Schizosaccharomyces pombe: one gene and its partners. Changing the gene in region 1 together with any one later gene gives a genetic interaction. Each region holds a gene or a part of one and is shown in the gene's direction. Other genes may lie near its edges. The genes, in order: sid1, ace2, cdc14 and scw1.

What was found.
Region 2: of sid1 (region 1) and ace2, a mutation in one rescues a mutant of the other (synthetic rescue), as found in Schizosaccharomyces pombe (one study listed by BioGRID).
Region 3: mutations in sid1 (region 1) and cdc14 are lethal when combined (synthetic lethality), as found in Schizosaccharomyces pombe (one study listed by BioGRID).
Region 4: of sid1 (region 1) and scw1, a mutation in one rescues a mutant of the other (synthetic rescue), as found in Schizosaccharomyces pombe (2 studies listed by BioGRID).

The regions. Positions count from the first base shown.
Region 1 is NC_003424.3:1,984,181-1,991,748, forward strand, and holds sid1 (PAK-like GC kinase Sid1), read left to right. Parts: upstream 1-1,517; 5' UTR 1,518-1,576; coding exon 1,577-1,693; intron 1,694-1,749; coding exon 1,750-3,048; 3' UTR 3,049-3,182; coding exon of another isoform or gene 3,183-3,291; 3' UTR 3,292-3,328; coding exon of another isoform or gene 3,329-6,795; 3' UTR 6,796-7,054; downstream 7,055-7,568. Other genes in the region: SPOM_SPAC9G1.07 (Schizosaccharomyces specific protein), read left to right, coding at 1-27, 73-258; SPOM_SPAC9G1.08C (phospholipase), read right to left, coding at 388-1,113; putative mitotic spindle organizing protein Mzt1, read right to left, coding at 1,170-1,364; inp53 (inositol polyphosphate phosphatase), read right to left, coding at 3,183-3,291, 3,329-6,795. UniProt on the Schizosaccharomyces pombe protein: Has a role in the septation initiation network (SIN) required for cytokinesis.
Region 2 is NC_003424.3:3,238,728-3,242,985, reverse strand, and holds ace2 (DNA-binding transcription factor Ace2), read left to right. Parts: upstream 1-1,832; 5' UTR 1,833-2,018; coding exon 2,019-3,620; 3' UTR 3,621-3,754; downstream 3,755-4,258. Other genes in the region: SPOM_SPAC6G9.01C (uncharacterized protein), read left to right, coding at 654-834, 1,233-1,331, 1,416-1,423. UniProt on the Schizosaccharomyces pombe protein: Regulates the transcription of genes required for cell separation.
Region 3 is NC_003423.3:2,330,544-2,335,537, forward strand, and holds cdc14 (SIN component Cdc14), read left to right. Parts: upstream 1-1,582; 5' UTR 1,583-1,726; coding exon 1,727-2,449; 3' UTR 2,450-2,630; coding exon of another isoform or gene 2,631-3,734; 3' UTR 3,735-4,486; downstream 4,487-4,994. Other genes in the region: gpa1 (G-protein alpha subunit), read left to right, coding at 1-1,018; folliculin bhd1, read right to left, coding at 2,631-3,734; SPOM_SPBC24C6.09C (phosphoketolase family protein), read right to left, coding at 4,719-4,994. UniProt on the Schizosaccharomyces pombe protein: Has a role in the septation initiation network (SIN) required for cytokinesis.
Region 4 is NC_003421.2:671,704-675,779, forward strand, and holds scw1 (RNA-binding protein Scw1), read left to right. Parts: upstream 1-1,772; coding exon 1,773-3,458; 3' UTR 3,459-3,548; downstream 3,549-4,076. Other genes in the region: p21-activated protein kinase inhibitor Skb15, read right to left, coding at 4,062-4,076.

The DNA.
Region 1 (7,568 bases):
AATTTAGCTTCTGCTTCCGTTGATGATGTAAGTGAAGAGTCTCAAGTTGAGCCAAATACTCTAATTTTTCAGAATTTTAGTTCACCTTCTACTTCATTGTCAGCTCCTAAAGACACTCCGGCTGTTATTCAATCGATCAATACTTCGTTTCTTAATAATGAGAGAGCAGGGCGTGGAAATATAAAAACAGTTGACCAAAATCAACTAATTAATAGAATTGTTGATAAGCTTCCGGATCTTAGTTATCTTGTCGATTGAAAATCTTAATGATCAAAAGGTAAACGTACTAATTTTAATCACATAATGGCTAGAGGAGTTATTGTTATATCTATGCCCAAATGAATATTAACTTTATTGTGAACAAATGTTAACTTAAATAAATCAATTCTAAAAAGATGTAAGAGGAATTGCATCTTCAAACAACGTGTTGTGAATATACAAATGTTTACTAATAGATTGAACGAATGTATACCATTCTCTAGGGGATGAAGGCATGTCAGTTTTATCATCACGATTCCAACATGTGAGGTGAAATGGTTTAAATGTTTTACGTAATCGCGATTCTTCATATTCGCTGCATGAACAATGCAATCGCTTTTCAAACAAATACACTGGAACATGAAATGGATGATTGGGCAAAGTTATGGATAGCGGTAGAGTACCTCCAAAGGAAAATATCCCTCCAAGCTGGTATTTAGTAGACAATTTATAACAACTATATAAAGCAACCATAGCTCCTTGACCAAACCCGAAAAAAAATATTCTAGAAGATAATATACCGTAAGAGAGTAGATTGCCAATTAAATTTGAAATCATCGTAAAACTTTTAGAGAAATCGGCTTCAGATTGCAGTTCCCCGTTTTGATCAAAATGGACATCCTCTCCCCACATCCAATTGCCTCCAGGATTTTCAAAATCTAATGGTAATCGATATGGTCCACGTAAGGAAATATAACTAGTGTTGGGCAACGGAACGTTCTTTGCCATATTTGCAAAACTCTTGTGAGAATCTCCAAGTCCATGCATTAAAATAACTACATTGTGAACCTTGTCTTTCCCTTCAATAATCTCTGCGCATGCATTTGAAGGTAGAACACTGTTTAAAGAAGACATTAGATAAAAGAAATACTAAACCCCGAGGTCAACTATTGAGATTAAACTTCTTGCCATTAACTTGGTTCTGTGTCAACAGTTTGTTCCTGAGCCATACGTATTTCCCGAATTATTTGAGCTATTGCTTCTGGGTGTACGTTGTTTTCACAAAGACTGATGCAGAGTGAAAGCGTTGTTTTATCAAGTTCAGTTCCAAGCAATGTTCCTATTTCGTATAAAACTTCTATTGTCTCTTTGGTAGATTCAGACATAAAACTCGATACTTTATAATAAACTAGTCTAATTATATATACTTCGTAACAAGTTGGTAATGTTAAGTTTACTGGAATAGGCGTCTCGGAGTAGCTCATTATAATCCTCTAAGTAATAAACAAAGTACTTCGTGGTGCATCTAGCTTGTGCTTGTAAAACGAAACCGAAAGTAGGCTCAACCTCAGATTTGAGCAGTCAAAATATTGATGAAATGTATCCTCTCAATGCTAATTCTTATACTCTGCTACGGAAATTAGGATCAGGTTCATTTGGGGTTGTCTGGAAAGCACGTGAAAATGTGTCTGGCGACATTATCGCTATTAAACAGGTAAGACTAATTAATTTTTACTCTTCTTTAGTATCACAAAAAACTTACAGTTGCAGATTGATTTAGAAACAGGTATTGACGACATTACCGACATCGAACAAGAGGTATTTATGTTATCGAATTGCAACAGTTCCAATGTAATTCAGTATTACGGTTGTTTTGTTGACGGATACACATTATGGATTTTGATGGAGCATATGGATGGAGGATCAGTTTCGGGACTTTTGAAAATGGGAAGGTTGAATGAACAAGTAATTTCAATCATTCTTCGAGAGGTCCTTTATGGGCTAAATTATCTTCATGGACAAAACAAAATCCACAGAGATATCAAAGCCGCCAATATACTACTATCTTCCTCTACCGGAAACGTAAAGCTTGCTGACTTTGGAGTTGCCGCTCAACTTTCGAACGCTGCTTCGCGTAGACACACGTTTGTTGGAACGCCATTTTGGATGGCACCGGAAGTAATACAACAAACAAGTTATGGTTTAGCTGCTGACATTTGGTCTCTTGGAATTACGGCTATTGAAATGGCTAACGGAATTCCGCCCCGCGCTACAATGCATCCAATGCGTGTCATCTTTGAAATTCCTCAATCCGAGCCTCCAAAGCTAGATGATCATTTCAGTCCAACATTCCGTGATTTTGTGTCCTGCTGCTTAGATCTCAATCCTAATATGCGATGGTCAGCTAAAGAACTCCTTCAACACCCATTCATCAAAAGCGCAGGAACTGTGAAAGACATTATTCCTTTGCTTGTTCAGAAGGAGAATAAATTATTTGATGATTCGGATCAAAGTGTATTGGAAGAAACCATAAATAATACTTTAAAGCCCTTTGAAGAACCAATTGCTGAAGGAAATGCTGACATTGAGGATTGGACATTTGAAACTGTAAAGAAATCTGACTCAACTGTGTTAGGGAATACTAGCATTCCTAAAAATTCCATCATCAGTTCACAAAATAAAGAGGAATTGCCTTCATCAATAAAATATTTAGAGAAAACTATAATGAGTGATCAAGCGACACCGCATCCTTTTTCCAAGTCATTGTCTGAAAAAGGTAGCTCTTATCATAAATCGTTGACTTCCGATTTTGCTATGAAACATTATATTAAGTCCACCATACGATCGATGTTATTAAATGATAAATTGTCAGCAACGCAGCGCTCATCTTTAGAATCTTTTTATACATCTTTCATTTCTTTAGATAAAAATCTGTCCTCAAAATTTGTTAACCAAATTACTCCAGACAACAGACTGCATCACAAAAAGCAAAAGCGGAGCCCCATATCACAACTACTATTTTCACGGTGGCTTGAAGAAACTGAGAAAAGAAGAAGTCTAAATGGATAGCTTACTAAAAACTCGTAAACAACCTGTTTACAGCATTCACAATTTTGTATTTAAATGAACTTATAATGGCATATTCTACTATAATTTAATCTACATAATATATATAAACACATCCAAACGAGAACTATTCGAAATCAACTTGACACTTGCTTTAAAGCATTTTGTACATTCCAGTTATTTCCAGACAAATATTGTTCAGCCGTTTGATAAGACACAGAAGTATAATTCATGACATAGGTTATTCTGGTTGGTTAGCAAAATTCTCCAAAAAAAAACATACTTAGCCTTTCTCTTAAATTCATCAGCATACTCAATCCACTTTCGTTTGACCACGTCCCATGTGGACCCCTGAGATTGCGCATTTACCATCTTCGCTTTGGAATGTATTAAAGCAGATACTGGTCGGTGATCTGATGCCTTCAGTTCGTACCTGGTATAGTTTTCTGCAGAGATGTAGTCGGGACTTCCACGATAACAGATACGATCACACCAGGCAGGCACACGCTTTTTTTCACTACTGTCGTACTGCTCACTATGAACGTCGTACTTGTAAGTTGGGGCAAACGTGATTTCTGGTTCAGTAAATGTTCTCAGACGAAATCCGGCATTTCTTTTTCGCTCAACAAGAAGCTGATCGCTTTGGAGCAAAGTTTTTATGTCGTTTTTTTTAATTAAATCTAAAGCTTTAGGTCTCAATGTGTTGATTCTATAATTTAAATCACCATGCAAAACACAAACTTCGTGATCCATAATTAAAGAGCCATCGCCACCACCAACGAATGTATTCAATTGATCAGTTTCATCATTTTCAGGAAAAAGAGAAGCATTGTCTAAAATTGTTGCCAAATCATTATTTCTGGCTGCTTTATTGGATTGACCAGCAGCCAAATGACAGTTTACTATGCAATATGAAGTATCATCTACCAGAAAGCGAACGACTATTGCACCTTTGTTACCATGCAAACCACCTAGTCCCGTTTTTACAGTTGTCGATTGTAACATCCGAATTTTGCTTTGTAACTTATTTTTTACAAAAACACATGAGAAAAGACCAACCAAATTTTCACATACCAAAACCTGATAATCATCGTTTGAGCTTACCCGCATCATTTCAGATTCTAATTTTTCACGCCATAAACGATACTGACTGGAAATATTAGCACTGTTAGACGAACCACCTTTGGAGCTCGACTTTGAAAGGATGCTTCTAGCTGTGAGTCTTTTATTCTCCAAATCAACTAGCTCTTGAAAACCAAACACAACTATATCTGGGTATCCATTGTCTCGAATCATCATTGGAATCATACTAGCTCCAATAGTATCACTATCTAGATCAGATGGCTTTGAAGCTCCGGCATTCCAGGAACAAATAAGTATAGACACGTCAGTAAAATTACTATATTCTGGGAAGCGGCTTCGCATTTCGGTAGCTAACCAGTCACCCATCATTAAACCATCCCAAAACTTGACAACTGAAGAAGCCATACTAACAACTTGGAGCCTTTTAGCTTTCCATACGCTATTCACATCAATACCAAGTATAGTGGTAGCTCCATTGTGACTTGCTTTATGACCATGCCAACTTTTTAAGAGGCGCCAAGGACTCTCAGAAACATCAAATACGTAAATCATGCCTGTCGTGTAGGCTGCCCAAAGTGTATTTCCAACACCAACTAGTGAACAAATTCTATAGAATGAACTGCTAGTAATTAGCTCCAAAAAACGGTATTGGGTTTTCGAAAAGATGGATATTTTTCCATCAACGTGACCATAGAAGACCAAATCCGTAAAGTTTGAAATAGTAGTGCCACAAGAGATATCACCTATCAAACCAGGTGGAGTCATGGGCTTCGCCAAAACACTTGCCGACTCATTTTCTGAAGTTGAAGGATCATATACATAAATTGATTTCCCAACAACAACCCATAAAAGCCGATTATCTAAAACCATAGCATGAGTGGCATGAGGAATGGTGCGAATACTATGTGGAGTAGACTGTATACTTAAACCCATAATTTCATCTTCCTGCCATACATACAGTTTTCCCATATCGTCCAACGTCCACATTTCATTTTTATAGACCATAACGTAAGTAATAGGACAATTGGAAACAGACTTCTTAGTAACGATATGATGATTTTGAACATCGACTTCCCATAACATCCCATCTCTCGTTCCAAACCAAACAAATCTGCCATCGTCAGAGTAATTCTCCGGGGATGATTTAAATGATAAGGACGTTACCTTCGTATCCCCTAGAGGCATATGCCAATGACAAAGACCAGTAACGGTGTCATAAACACGAAGTCCTCCGTTTCCAGCTAAAACAAGGCGATCACCACTAACATCAAAGATTCTAGCTTCAAAATCTACGTTAATTGATTCAACACCGTTAACAAAACAGGGCGGGTTCCTCCTAACGCTAGAAGTATCTGGTATGCTTCCTTTTAAAACAACATCTAATTGCGATGACGAAGAGGAACTAGCAGCAACAGAAGGATCACTTTGCTCAGTAGAAACAGGCATAGAGACAGGTTTGTTAGTAGCTAAGGATTTCACCCTCGGTGGTGGTGGAGGAAACAAAGGGGATGGTTTAGAAGATAAGTTTTCAGATGTTAAAGCTGGACTAGACAGTTCTGATAAAGTGTGACTAGGACGGGGAGGTAATCTGGGTTTCTCAGGTATTAAAGACATCTCTGATGCAGGAGCAATATGAGTGTAGGGAGACGACTGTAAACCAGTAACAAGACTGGCGTCACTTTTAGTAGCCAAATTCTCTATTGGGGAAGAAGAGCGCTGGGTAGAAACTTTACGCAGCGGTGGTTTTGGGGGCTTTCGGGGAGATACATGAAGCGGTAATTGTTGAGATATTACCGCACGCGATTGCTGTATAGCCTCAACAGCAACTGGCTGTGGAGGTCTTGGAGAGGGAATTGGAGGAGGAGTTTCCAAAGACCTGTCTCCAATGTTCAAAACAGGAGGCGCCGTCGATATGGGACACTCCTTTCCAAAGGTCTGGCTAAATGGATCATGCAAATCAAAGGAGGGCACACTTTTACTAGAATTGATAACGTTTTCTTCTTCTTCTTCAGAAGACAGAACCGAAGAGGCTTCGGAGTGAGTTGGAGACTGAGAAATATATGCCTTAACATTTTTTAATGGAGATACAGATATCGGGCTTGAAGAACCTGCTTTCGAAGAAAAATTGGGTTTAGGGGGTGGTATTTGATGATTATTGGTATCATCGTGTTTCATTAGATCATTTCCTTTGGTAGATTGTACAGATGATTGAAAAGAAATTTCAGGCCCTTTTTGTTGAGGTCGCTTAAGTAATGGAGAAACAGAAACAAATGAATTAGATATAGTAGGAGAAGATGGAGTAGCTACGTGAGATTCAGAAGAATCACTAGGTAGACGATCTATTTTTGAAACATCAGCGTGGGGGTTTGAAGGATTTTTAAAATTAGAAGCTAGCCTTTGAATTGAACCACTAACTTTTCGTCCAGTCGAACTTCCTATAGTCGATGAGACTTGCCTCGGCGGTGGAATAGGTCTTGCTTTAAAAACGTTTGGCTCAGAAGTGCCATTTTTACAACCTTTTACAGTTCTTCTTTTAGCAGTTTTTTCGTCCAAATTAGTTAGGTCACCGGTACTCAATGACTCGAACTTTGATTTCAATGATAAAACCGAAGGGGGCAACTCGGGTTCATCTTCATTCACATTGCTGAAGCCTTGGCGAGAGGCCATGTTCCATGATTACGACAATCTTATGCTTTAAATCAATTTTTTAAATAAATCACCTTTTTTAAATACTTCTAAAATCTATTAGGTGCTGTTTGGACCTTTTGCGCTTTTCAGCTAATTGTTGGAAAAAGACAACCAAGACACTGCGTGGGCTGACCTATTATGAAATAAACAAAGCCTCGTGCACTCAAACACACGCATCAACAATACTCCAAATAATCATTTTTACAGAAAACAAAAGGGAAGATGATGTAGAAATTCGCATAATACAAATTAGGAATTCCAAAAAACTATCAAATATTTTTTAGGCATTTGTATTGCTTAACTAAATAGTTTACTTCACATTTATAGAAACAATTTTGAAAGCCATTCTCAAGGCAATGAAAGATCATATTGTCATGTAGCTAAATATTTGTAACATATTATTAAGCATTGACTATAAACACACATTGCACAATTTTATTTCAGAAAGACACAAAACGAGAAATTTTAAGTACTTATGCAAGAAATTTTATAAGATACAGAAAATTTATTCGATATCAAAATTATATAAAAATTGAGCAACTTATGAAAGCATATGTACTATACGTTGAATAAAACCACAATAAAAGAGTGTATAAAGGCATAGAAAAAATAAAATAAAATCATATAGTTAATTGATTGTCTAAAGAATGTAATTTATACGGGAGGCAAGATAGACGTTTGACATTATGTATTAGAAATGAAGGACCATAAAAGATGATAGTATGGTTCACTAGCAAACAAACCCAAATGAT
Region 2 (4,258 bases), 1.3 Mb from region 1:
TTTGTATATTTGTATTCAAATGTTTTGCCTTATTTCTCTAAGGTGGTTTCTAGGCTGAAAAAGAATTGACAGAGGTTTTGAGCTGATTTTCATTGTCAAATAGTATTCACTTTATTTTTATCTTATGCTTAATTACTAAAGTATTTCGTTTATTAAGCAATGAGATTTTGCATTTGTTAATTTGATACAGCAATAATTCGCTTCTTAAATGAAGACAAAAAGTGTTAATTTATGGTATTAGGATAGAGTTGACCTAAATATGCTTTTATAAAGAAAGCTTGGCCAAAGAATTGTCTACATTTTATTGCCGTTTCGAAATACCGATGACAGAGGTGATACAGCTTCTAAACAAAATTAAACAATTTTAAACATAATAAAGAACCAAAGGAAAAAAAAGGAATCGATCAATCTCATGCCTTAATGCTGGTACAAGTTTCTTCTGAAGAATCATTCTTATAAATATTACAAATTCTTTACCGTAATACGAGAGAATACGTTATGCAGATTTAAGCATTTTAGAGAATTCTTATTTTATGAAGCACGGTACCGCAAAAGAATTTCTAGCAAGTTTGCAAGCTACAACAAACTGTCTCTCTACTCAATTATACAATTGCCATTGACTTGGCAAACTCCTCTCTACGAGTATTTAAAAGATGGAAATCGACGACATTTTTGCTTCTAAAAAGGCAAACCCTGCAAATGAAAAGTCAAATGACTCAAAGTCGGAGGCGAAAGCCCCTAAGAAAGGAGCCAAGACAAAATCTACTCCAAGTCGTCCAAAACCTACTAATAACCAAGACGATTTATTTTTAGATCCAAAGGGAGCCTCAGGAAGTAAGACACTTTTTGCCGTTTGATAGTTCATCCTTACATACGTTCTCGCTACTTGGTTAATGATTGCATTCGTTCATGTTTGGCATCCGCGTTGTTTGTCAATTCTTTGACCTCAAATTCATATTTATTGTCTAAAAGATTGAGAAACTTCGAACTGTGCTATATACTTATTTATTTATTATATACTGCTAGAGCTAGATTACGTTTTTCTAGGGAGATACATTTCACAATGATGTTTAGTGTTGGTGGAGACTCCAAATCATTAAGCTCTATTGTGTGGTATTGAACCTTATTCGCTATTCTGTTTACGGGAATGTTTGCCGAACGATGCAATACTTACCTAGCAACGGCACTTTTCTCCTTATCATCAGTAATTGTATTAACGTTTTGTGTTTTAGGAAAGCGTACCGAGGAAGGGTTTCTTGTATATGACGAGGAGGAATTAAACATTGGCCAAGGTGGAGGTACACCGGATTGCCCTTTTGATTGTCAGTGTTGTAAGTAACTTATTCATTGCATTTAAAAACTTTTCCATGGCATTTTTTCTCTTGCTAGCTCTATACTAATACTAATACCTTAAGGTTTTTGATCTCAACGTCGTTGTCGTTTTTTCAGGTTGGTTACCGTTTTTTTTTGGCTTGTCATACTTAATCTATGTTTTCTAATATCATCCATGATCCAGTTGTTGAAGCGTAGACATTTTCATAGCCGTGATTATCCTGTTTATTAGTGGTAGTGTCTTTCAATCAAACCTTTTACTGGTTTAATTCAAAAAATAGTTGATTTGTCCCTTTGGCAACAAAAGGTAAATAAACAATCCCTGGGTCTGTGTTTACACTTGTATTGCGTTGTTGTGATATGGTTCGGTAATCCATGCAATGTAAACAAATAGTGACTTGTTTTGCGGTAAAGTGAAGCATAAAATTCAACAATTGTCGTCATAGCAACGGAGTAGCTATTTGATATAAACAAATAGCCAGCGCACCAAACATTGCTGTAACAAACAAAAAAAAATCGAAGAGTGATTAGTTCAATCATCTACTGGGTTAGACTGGCTTTGAGCCACACTTTCATCTCACTTCAAGTTATCAAGCACTCTTTTCAAGAGTCATTTCTCTCATCGTTCTCTCCTTGATTTCTCTACGCATTGCACTAGATACTCGCTATCCTAAGTAAACAAGACAATGTCGCTTTCATATTTATCATCTTCTTCGCAAAAGTCGTTTGAATCATTTCGACAAGAAGAGAGTCCAGCTTGTAATCATTCGTACCAAAGGGATTATGAAACTTTTGGCGATAGCAAGCATACTTCTTTTTCCTCCTTCGCTCCCTTTGAAAATGAGGTGTCTTTAAATCAAGCTGTTATCCCTTCACCGCCTTCTCATCTTCAGAACTTTCAAGATCAGTTTGACTATAGTTCTGTTCTAAAAACACCGTTTAACCCTTTGTTGGAAGCGAATTCTGCATACTTTTTATCGAACCAAATATCGCTCCCCGACTCTCACTCGTATGCATCCTCCTTTGATGCTTCCTTATCACCCCCTTCCTCGCCTTTAACTTGCGTATCACAAATCCATACCGAGCAAAATTTTAATAACAATGACGCATTTTCCTTGACCAACTCTCAACAGGCCTTTTCCGAAATTGGTTATGATGCATCAAATTGGATTGATGAGCTGGACTCTCAACAACAAGTCCTTTCGTTTCCTGAGTTTGACATACCAGAAATAAAGACGGAAACTTGCTCCAACAAAGATCACCTCGAAAATTTCGACTACCTTTCCTCAAGTATACCTGAAACCTCGGGTCCTGCCTCTTCCGTTCTTCCCAGCTCTTCGCAATTGGAATCATTTAATGAGTTTATGTTCCTCCCATCCTCTCCCCCTGGATTAGATGAGATAAACGGTGCGCCTTCATTTGAAGAATTGAACTTTCAAATATCCCAACCAAGTCCGGCACATCCTGTAGACTTATCGAGTCCAGAGACTGCACCTAATATCTCCCCTGTATCCCCATTTGCCCAACTTGTAAAGCTAGAGCCCACTTCGCCTCAAAAGCCCTCCTTTGCTCTAGATTCTTCGTTTTCCCATTTGGATGTATGCAGGCATACTGACAACCAGAAAGCGTTTGCAAAGTTATCATCACCTGCTGAATACGTTTCTGAATTTGAAAAATTCTCATCCGTTTGCGATCATGGACTTGACATATCGAACGCAAATATCAACAACACTTTGACACAGCAGTTTGCATTAAGTGCACCTTATGAATCTTGCATAGTTACCAAGAAACCTGAACCTTGTATCACTGTCAAGGAAGAAGAACAATTAGCTCCAAAAATTGAATCTGCTGATTTATCAATTACTCCTCAAGTCACCGAGCATGATTCCAAACCTCCGGTCAGAATTTCATACGATCATAGATGCAAAACTCGCAAGCAATCAACTAGGATTTGTAGAATTCCTCCGGAGACAATGGCTAGCTTATATTGCGGCCCTGAAGCAGATGGAAAGTACGTCTGTTTGTACAACGGGTGCAATAAACGTATTGCTCGCAAATATAATGTTGAATCGCATATTCAAACACATCTGAGCGACCGTCCGTATCGCTGTGACTTATGCAAAGCTGGCTTTGTTCGTCACCACGATCTTAAGCGTCATCTGAGGATTCACGAAAATGGCAGGCCATATGTATGTGAATGCTTAAAGAGATTTAACCGACTTGATGCCTTAAATCGGCATAAGCAGAGAAATATATGTGTTGGCGGCGTAGATCGCAGACAGCACTAATGATGACAGCTGTACAACTTGCATCGCATTGCATTATAATGAGTTATGTTTGGTTTTTTTTTGGGATTTTTTAATTTTACTAATATTATTGTTTTTAATTTGCTTTTATATAAATTCAAATTCAAGCATCGTACATGAACTAATGCTGTGACAATTTTGATAATTTATCAACTTGTATCTGTCTTTTGTATATTTATTCATCACCCTAGTATTGTGTATAACTCTGCATCATCTAAAATCTACAGATTAATCTTTGTGAAATGGAAATACAACTATGAAGTTGTTCGTATCGTTGAACGGCTGAAATGGTAAAACTAGTTTCCCCAAACCTGACAAACAACTTGGATACATGAGTAAGAATTAGTGTTTGCTTTCACTCGCACCGATGTTTAGTCAACATATGTTTAAGTTGGTATTTCTAGGGAAAACTTGTATTTAATTACTATAGTATGCGAAGTATTTCATTGGAAAACAGTGGTTGTAGTATGCTGCCAAGCAAGCATTTATTATGATAATAATAATTCAACAAATTAATCACTATGACTTAAACAGAGAAACCAATGATTGTTTTAACTATTATTGCTGGTCATTGGAGGAAATTTTGTCGGCAAGAGAAAAGATAATTCATTTCTATTTGC
Region 3 (4,994 bases), on another chromosome or scaffold:
TTCAGGTGGAAATGACATTAAAGTTTTGCTCTTAGGCGCCGGTGATAGTGGGAAAACGACCATTATGAAGCAGATGAGATTATTGTATAGCCCCGGTTTTAGTCAAGTAGTTAGAAAGCAGTATCGAGTGATGATTTTTGAAAATATCATCTCCTCTCTATGTCTTCTTCTTGAAGCTATGGATAATAGTAATGTCTCTTTACTTCCGGAAAATGAGAAGTATCGGGCAGTTATCCTAAGAAAACACACTTCTCAACCCAATGAGCCATTTTCTCCAGAAATATATGAAGCTGTTCATGCCTTGACATTGGATACCAAACTTCGTACGGTGCAAAGTTGTGGTACCAACCTCTCTTTGTTAGACAATTTTTATTACTATCAAGATCACATTGATCGAATTTTTGACCCACAATATATACCTTCTGATCAAGATATCCTTCACTGTCGTATCAAGACGACCGGTATATCAGAAGAAACATTTCTGTTAAATCGTCATCATTACCGATTTTTTGATGTAGGAGGACAGAGATCAGAGCGCAGAAAATGGATTCATTGCTTTGAAAATGTCACTGCATTGTTGTTTCTCGTTTCTTTGGCAGGTTACGATCAATGCCTTGTAGAGGACAATTCAGGAAATCAGATGCAGGAGGCGTTATTATTATGGGATTCCATATGTAACTCTAGCTGGTTTTCAGAATCAGCAATGATACTTTTTCTAAATAAACTTGATTTATTTAAAAGAAAGGTTCACATTTCCCCCATCCAGAAGCATTTTCCTGATTACCAAGAAGTTGGTTCAACACCAACATTCGTACAAACTCAATGCCCTCTTGCCGACAACGCAGTTCGAAGCGGTATGTATTACTTTTACTTAAAGTTTGAAAGTCTTAATCGCATCGCTTCTCGTAGTTGCTATTGCCATTTTACCACAGCTACAGACACTAGTTTGCTCCAAAGGGTAATGGTATCCGTTCAAGATACGATTATGTCCAACAATCTACAGTCACTTATGTTTTAGATGAATTTTTCCTTAACTATCTTCATAATCTTTTCTGTCTCATTTCTCTACTTTCATTCGCACTCTAGGAAAAGCCTCTATACTTTTCCGTGAATGGTGTCTCTAGTTAATTTCCTTGCATTTTGTATGCACTTCATGTGTTATTTCTCCATCGAAACTGTTAATTAGTGCATTCTAATTGTTTTATTTCATAGCTTCTTCGAAGCTTCGTGTAATCTTATATTGTTTTAAATAGCTCAAAATTAACTGCAGTTTTTGTTATTTGATAATTTTACGATTAATACATAACTATTGTTTAATTTAATATCTAAATTTTTTCATGTCAACCGTTTGAGACAAACTAAACCCATTGATATTAATATAATTAAATTAGGCGGATTTGATCGTAAACTAAATATAAATCTATAAGGACTCGATGTTGCTTGTTTTGTTATTTTAGGCCCCTTTTTCAAATATGGCTCCAATTCGCCTGTTAATATTCAATTGTATCCTATCTTAGCAAGCTGGTGTTTTCTCTCCCAAAACCTCAAGTTTTAGAAAATAGCAATTTAATGTAGCTGCTTCAACACTCCACCCTACTATTTATATCATTACTAAGAACGAATATAGAGTCTCTTTTTTATCTTTAACTAAACGAAGATTCAATTTACTTTTATTTATAATAAGGATTTTTATTGCCCGCTTGGCATGAGTAAATAATGATCCGGTATGGAAGATCTATTAAACAATGCTAAACAGCATTTGTGTATGAGGAATCCAAAGCTAATTCGAATTGGTTTGCGTCAAGTCGAATCTATTGTATATCATGTTGCGAAACCTAGTCATGATGATAAAATTCCAAGAGAAATTTTCCTAAAATTACAGGATTCACCATTGTATAATTCTACTACCCCTTGCATTTACGCTTTGGACAGTCTCCTTGAATATCAGCAGAATGAAGAGGCATACGAAAAAAACTTTCAATTCATTCAAAAGCTAATTGATGACTTACTGCATGTGATTGAAGGATTGGTTTTAATCCATCCAAAATCACAGACGTTATTTGAAGATAAAGCTACCTTAAGGTTATTTATTCATTTATTACAGCCATCTCAGCCATCTATGTTGCAAGTGGCTGCAATGAAAACGCTTGTATGTATCATGGCAGATCGTCCACTGGCTATTAGGCTTTTTGAGCAGATTAATGGCTTGCAGCAGATATGCGTAGTTTTTAAGCACAAACAAACAAGTCAGGACACCCGATTTCAAATTCTCGAATTTTTCTATTTCTATTTATCCCCTGAACCATATTCTATAGATGTCATTGCCTACAGGAAAACGCGGACTGAGAAACAAGCTTACCTATCCAAATATCTTTCTAACGTACAAGGGCTTCGAGATGATTTAGATAAGTTTCAACCATTTGGCAAGTTAGACGAAACATTCGACTAGTTAGATGCAATGCCTGGTGCAAAAAAATGTTTAAAGTCTCATTGTTAACTTATTTTTGAAAATTTAGTATTCATTTACTAAAGAATTTCTAATGTTAATGTTAAATTATTAATCGATCATCTTACTATTGAAAGTATTCCAGCATCCTATAGCATTTGTAAAAAGTCAACCAGTTTTACTTTCATACTACTAAGAGATCCCAAACCTCCAGAATCCAGCTAAACGAACTGTGAAGACCGACAAAGATTCCGTCCCAACATGTGATATCAACTAAACTGCGTCCCTCCCCAATATCGTCTCGACGACGCAAAAAACTGAAAGAAGGAAGTCTTTGTGTGTGGGCCAAAGATGACACATTTGCACCGATACTAGAGGATATCTCATACGAAGGAGCAGTTCCTATATTTGAAGAACCCGATAACGAAGAAATGTTAAAACTGGGGGATGCAAACGTTCCATTGCTAGAGGAGGCTGTTGTTTTTGAACGGGAGGAGGAGTAGTCATTCTTTGTATTGAAAGAAGAAATCCTTAGAAACTGGACTATATGAAGAAACTTTTCAGAAATAAAACTATATCGCAAAATCAAATCTAACTGATTTGGACAAGTAGCAATAATCGCATATCTTCGAAGTCCTCCCCGGGCAGAGGGATCTCTTAAAGAAAAAGACTGACTAATAACGTAACCGTTATCTTGGTCTCCAAAGAACAAAGGATTTGACATAGAATCGGAAGCTTCAGATAGTGTTGAATATTCACAGCTCAAGCAGCGAACCATTAATCGCTTAAGGGTAGAATATCGTTGCTGAGTATGTGGATGTTGACTAGACATGTATAAAACATCGGGGTTTGTACTTGAGTTTGTATAAAGTCGTGGTTGAACATCAGGTACAGAGAATTCAAGGGGTAAAACAGTACTACATGTAACACAAGATGATTTTCTCGAAATAGGGCTTTGATTTCGAGAGTATGAGTTATGAAATGAGTTTACTCGGGGGGATTCTGGTCCTTTCGATACCTTTTTACATAAATAATCTTCAGAATCAGCTTTGAAAAGTGATTCGGTAGAACTTTGTAAAGATTGAGAATCGGCATTGTTTCGATTATCGAGTTCATTTTTGAAGGCTTCTGGTGAATCATTACCATTCTCCGTTACGCCAATAGAGCGCTTAGATGTAGGATGCTCAAAAAATTTTGAAACGGTAGAGCGATGCAATTTTTGAGTGCAAAAAATAATGGAAGGCCCCTCGGCCTCACAGAAATGTCCAAGAGCAAAAACAACATCCATTATGACTATTATGGAAATTTGGTGAGATAAAAGTGTTTAGTTGACAAAGGCGATCTGAAAGCAAATGTTTAGAAAGCGACAATGAACTTGAAAAGTTTTGATGGTGTATAATAGCTTCTAAATAATGCCTTCAAATCTAATGATTAATAAGGTGATACGTTTTAAAGTCGATAAAATGTAAGATGTGCATTCGTTCGAAAACAACCTTTTGTACTTTACCGATTTACCAAGCAAACATTCAGTTATACTGAGGTATTTCGAAAAGATTGAGGATTAGAAAAAAAATGGATTAAAGAGCTTGAAACGCTCCAGATACTGAAATTGATATGAAAATTCCTGATAAATTAGAGGATATATGTGTGCGTCTTCATCTCACACAGTACCAAAATATAATAAACACACTAGAATCTGTCCAGTTTACATTAAAAGAATTAAAAAAAAAGTTTTTCTGTTTGGAAAAAGCGGTTGATTTTCTCACTTCAAGGAATAGAATGTTCAGAAGTTTATACCAAGTTCCACATTTCCGATATTGTAGGGGAATGCTGAAGAGTCGCAAATGAGGGAATTTACGAAAAGCTAGTAATTAAGAAACTTCAAAAATGAAAACGACCTTCATAGAAAACAAGTAAAAATGCGAGTGCGTTGAGAGGGGGAGGAAGAGGTTAAAAACTGACGAGCTACAAAAAAGCGTAAGGTATCAATTAGTGCCTCTACTGTTTCGATTACTAAATACAGCCACAAACTATTGATAGTAATGTATATAAGAATTGGTATATTAAATCGTGTAAAACACAATTGCAATATGCGCGCGACCGGGCAAATCCAAGTCAGCTAGCTACCTAAGTGATACCACCAACCAATGTTTGGGTACACCCCAACACTACAAGATATGCTAACGTTTTAATTAACACAAAAACAGATGTAATTTTATTTAAATTCTGTAGAATTATCATTATATAAACAAAAAGAATGCACCATTTCTATCTATAATGTGGAAGTCTTATTTTTAAAGACAGGAGCAGCATAAATTTCAGGAGGATCATCCTTGTTTTCCATAATATAATTTTCAATCTCTTCGAGCTTCCAAGCATATTTGGCACACAACATGTTACAATTAACGGCCACGGTAGGATTGTGTAAAGCATGTTGCAAAGCCATTCTTGCAACATGATAACGAGAGGTATTGTTACACATCATCATATTAAAAGGAGTGGTAGTAGTACCTTCCTCTCGATAGCCCTCCATAGTGACCCGTGTACC
Region 4 (4,076 bases), on another chromosome or scaffold:
TCCTCGGTTTCTCCCTATTAAATATTTTCTTTTCATTGTTTTTACGGAAATTCTCATTTTTTCATCTTAGGGGCTCGTTGACTCAGCCTGCACGACAAGGAAAATTATATCCGTTTCGGAAGCACAACGTGTGTGTTGAAAGTCTTACTTTTCTTTTTTATTTTTCTGTACCCTTTCATTGAACTTTAGCCATTTGTTGCTTTGTTGAATTTTGGCCATAAATAGTTTTTCAACTGGGTTTTTATTCGACCTCCTTTCATTATTCATTTCATTTTCATATCTATCCATTTCTATCCCCACTAAACAATTTTGTGTTTTTAGGATTTCCCTATTCTCAATCCATAAAATAGTCACGATTCGTTTTCATTCAGATACCCGGCTCCTTATTTTTTTTTTTTTCGAAATTTTATTCACTCGTTTGATTTCGTTGATTCATTTCTTCCGCCTTTTACTCATTACTTAAGGGTATTTGCTTATTAAACGTTTGGTCTTTTTTTTTGCCCATCTTTTTGTTCATACAAAGTTTTGTGACATTTATATAATATTTAGTCTCTTCGTTTTTGTGTGGGTTACCTTTTTTGTTTTATTCTTTTTCTTTTTTTTTTCTCTTTCTTCCCTCTTTGTTTTTTCTTCTGACCCTATTTTATGCCTTATTATTATTTTGATCAAGTTTCAATCATTTTTTCACAAAGATTTCATATTCACTTTACTTCTTAGTTTTTTTCTTTTTATTTGAAATTTCTTGGAATCTTTTTGCCTTTTTTCTTTTAACTTGATCTCTCTTATTTAACGTTACTTAGAAAAGCTTCTTTTATTTTGCTTTTCCTTTCATTCTTCGCTCCTTTATAAACCGTGTTCATACTTCTTTTGCTTACGTTTTGCCAATCTTCCCAGCAATTTTACTTCTATCTTGATTGTTCTTGTTGTTGGATATTTACTCTTTGTTGATAGCGGTATATTTTATTTGCTTCTCACTTTTTGCCCGATTGCTTTCCTTTGATTTACCTCTCCAAAAAAAAACAAGTGTCTTTTGTTTACTTGTTTGTATATTTGTTTATACTCTGCTGATTGAAAAGTTGATTGTTTATTTTATTTTTCCATCTGCAACCATTTCTTTTTTTTTGAAAAAAAAAAAATCGCTAACTGATTTTTTTAAGCATTTCGAATACCTTCGAAGTCTTTTTATCGATACTTTTGACGATTTCTTCCTCATAAGCCTTGCCCTAGACTTTTTGTTAGCTCGGTATTTTTGCATATTTCAGTCATCTTTTTTTCATTTTCAGTTTGTGTTTTTTGCTTCACAGTTGTATCTGTCTCTCTTTTAGCAACTAGAATTATTTGTGGTGGTCAACAGTTTACCCTTTGCTCTCGTTTTCTTGAAGTTACAGTCTTTCTTTTATTATCTTCGTCCAGTATTCTAGGTTGTTGCCCTTCTAATTCTTTCGCGTCAAGTATTTGGATTTTTCTAATACTTGCTAACAATTTTTACTGAATTTTTTATTTTTCTTCATTGCCCTTGCTTATTTTTATTACTTACACACTTTCTTTTTAGTCGACCAACTAGGTTTCTAACTTTTTACTCCACTTATTAACTATTTCGTGTTATTAAGCTTGAAGCCTCATTTATTATCGTTTGGGGTTTATTTAACAACTACTGCTATTTCATTTGTGTTTTACTTTTAGGCATCTATTGCTTATTTTGGTTACTTTATCAACCACTTTGTCATTCTTTTTTCTCTTCTTTTCAATTACCATTATATATAATTTGCAAAATGTTTGTGGGATCACCGAGCGCTATTGAAAAGCCTTTATCGTTATCCAGTAAGACCAAAGTCGGGGACGAAACCGAGTTTACTGAAGATGCGCTACGTGGTTCATCGTTGGTTCCAACCGGTATTCTGAATGGAGATGATGAATGTCATGCTCTTCACATGTCTCCTCAGGCTATTCACAGCCAAGCTGGGAAAGCTGAATCTGACGGTTTACCTACTTATGCATCTGTGGAAAAATCCACAACTCCGATTGGTAGACTCCTCTCTAACCTCAACGGTGGATTAGCCTCTGCTCCTCCTAAGGTTGGATTCGGTTTTCCTAGATATTATGCTTTGCGGATTGAGGATTTACCTAGGGACTTAACACCCAGAGAGTTTTTATGTACCTTTTTATTCGCTACGAATGTAGTATCCGTCGAGCTTAATCCTGTATCCGTGGATAATGAAGTTGCTCATGGATTGGCGGTGTTTTCATCCCGAGATGCTGCTGCATCTGCTAGAGACACTTTGCTATCTAGCGATGTTTATTCCGCGTGCAGCATGATAATTTTAGACAATTATCGAAAGGGAAGTCAAACAAATCTTAGCGACGAAACTGAGGGCTCTGAGAGTAGTGTTTCATTTAACAGACTGTCTCGAAACCATTCTCCAACTCGTCCACTGTTAGGAAATCGTGATCTTTTCCGCAGGTCAAGTAATCATGTGTCAGCCAGTATGCCTACTGCAAATCATTCGGAATCTGCTTATCGTCATTCAAAAACACCTTTGGGTGATAGCACTTTTCAGGCTCCTAACAATGGAGGTAGTTTGCATTCCGATAGGTTGTGGTCTTCTTTCCCTGTTTCTTATCCTTTAACACTCGCGAATGTGTTAGCCAAGGATGAAGTTGGTTCACCTACGTGGTCACCCACTCCTTCCAAAAGTAGTACCAATTTGCGTCAAGACGGTGTTCCTCCGATTTTGCGATTTAACTCATTATCTATTAACACCAACGTGGCGCGCAATTACCTTTCATCTGAAAAGGGTTATAGCGCTCATACCCAAAATTCTAGTGCTCAATCACCCCATCCTCGTGTCTTTTCGGCAAACAGTGCATTCAGTACAACAAGCCCTCCTCCCTTGACACCATCAACATCAAGAGACTACCCATTTTCAGCTTCTACCATTTCACCTTCCACACCATTTTCGGCTTATTCCTCCAGTCATGGAATTCATCAACGCATCCCTGCTTCTACCCCCACGAATACCAACCCTGCTGATCAAAATCCTCCTTGTAACACCATTTATGTTGGAAATCTTCCTCCTTCTACTTCCGAGGAAGAGTTGAAAGTTTTGTTTTCCACTCAAGTTGGATACAAAAGACTTTGTTTCCGCACTAAAGGCAATGGCCCCATGTGTTTTGTTGAATTTGAAAACATTCCATACGCCATGGAAGCCTTGAAGAATTTACAAGGTGTTTGTCTTAGCAGTAGCATTAAAGGTGGTATTCGTTTGAGTTTTTCGAAGAACCCATTGGGAGTGCGCTCATCAAGTTCATCGCATAACAACCATAATGGAAACGTTCGTAACCTTCACTCTGGTTCCATGAATAATTACAATACAGACTCTTTGCTTAATCATACTGGTGGACATAACGAAGTCCACGCCAGTCCCAGTTGGGGTAATAATCTAATGTATGGCAAATAGCTCATCTAGCATTTTCTCGTCTTCATTTTATCATTATTCATCAATACCTTGCAAGGACTTTAGGTCCAAATTTTTTAAGCATATTGTTTCTCTTTTTTTTTTTTTGAGTTTTGCATATTGATTCTTTGTTAATCAAAAGTTGCGATCTATTCCACTTTGACTGCATGCAACTTTAACCATCTGTTAAGCTTAATTACAATTTGTCGATTTATGCGATCTGTTTTATTTCACTCTTATATAAGATGGGTACTTGCATTGTTTAGTTGTCATTAGGATTTATCATTTGCTCATCATTTCCATATACTTCTGCTACACATATCAATTTACATAATAATATCGACTTTTGCTTCTAAATGAACCCATCTTAAATTGCTAAACAAGTACTGTAACAACTTGGTTAGATGTATTTTTATTGTAACACCCAACTTAAGCTTACATACAAGAATTTTTAGGATACATTGATAAGCAAACACTTAATCCTTTTATAAATATTAGTATAGTCTAGGTGAATAAAATATTTCCAACAAAAACTGTATAATAGTAATCCCGTCCTTTCCCTATTAAGTTGAAATTGATTTACTTTTTTTAAAATTGCGAGGAACTTTAGGCATGCTTCGT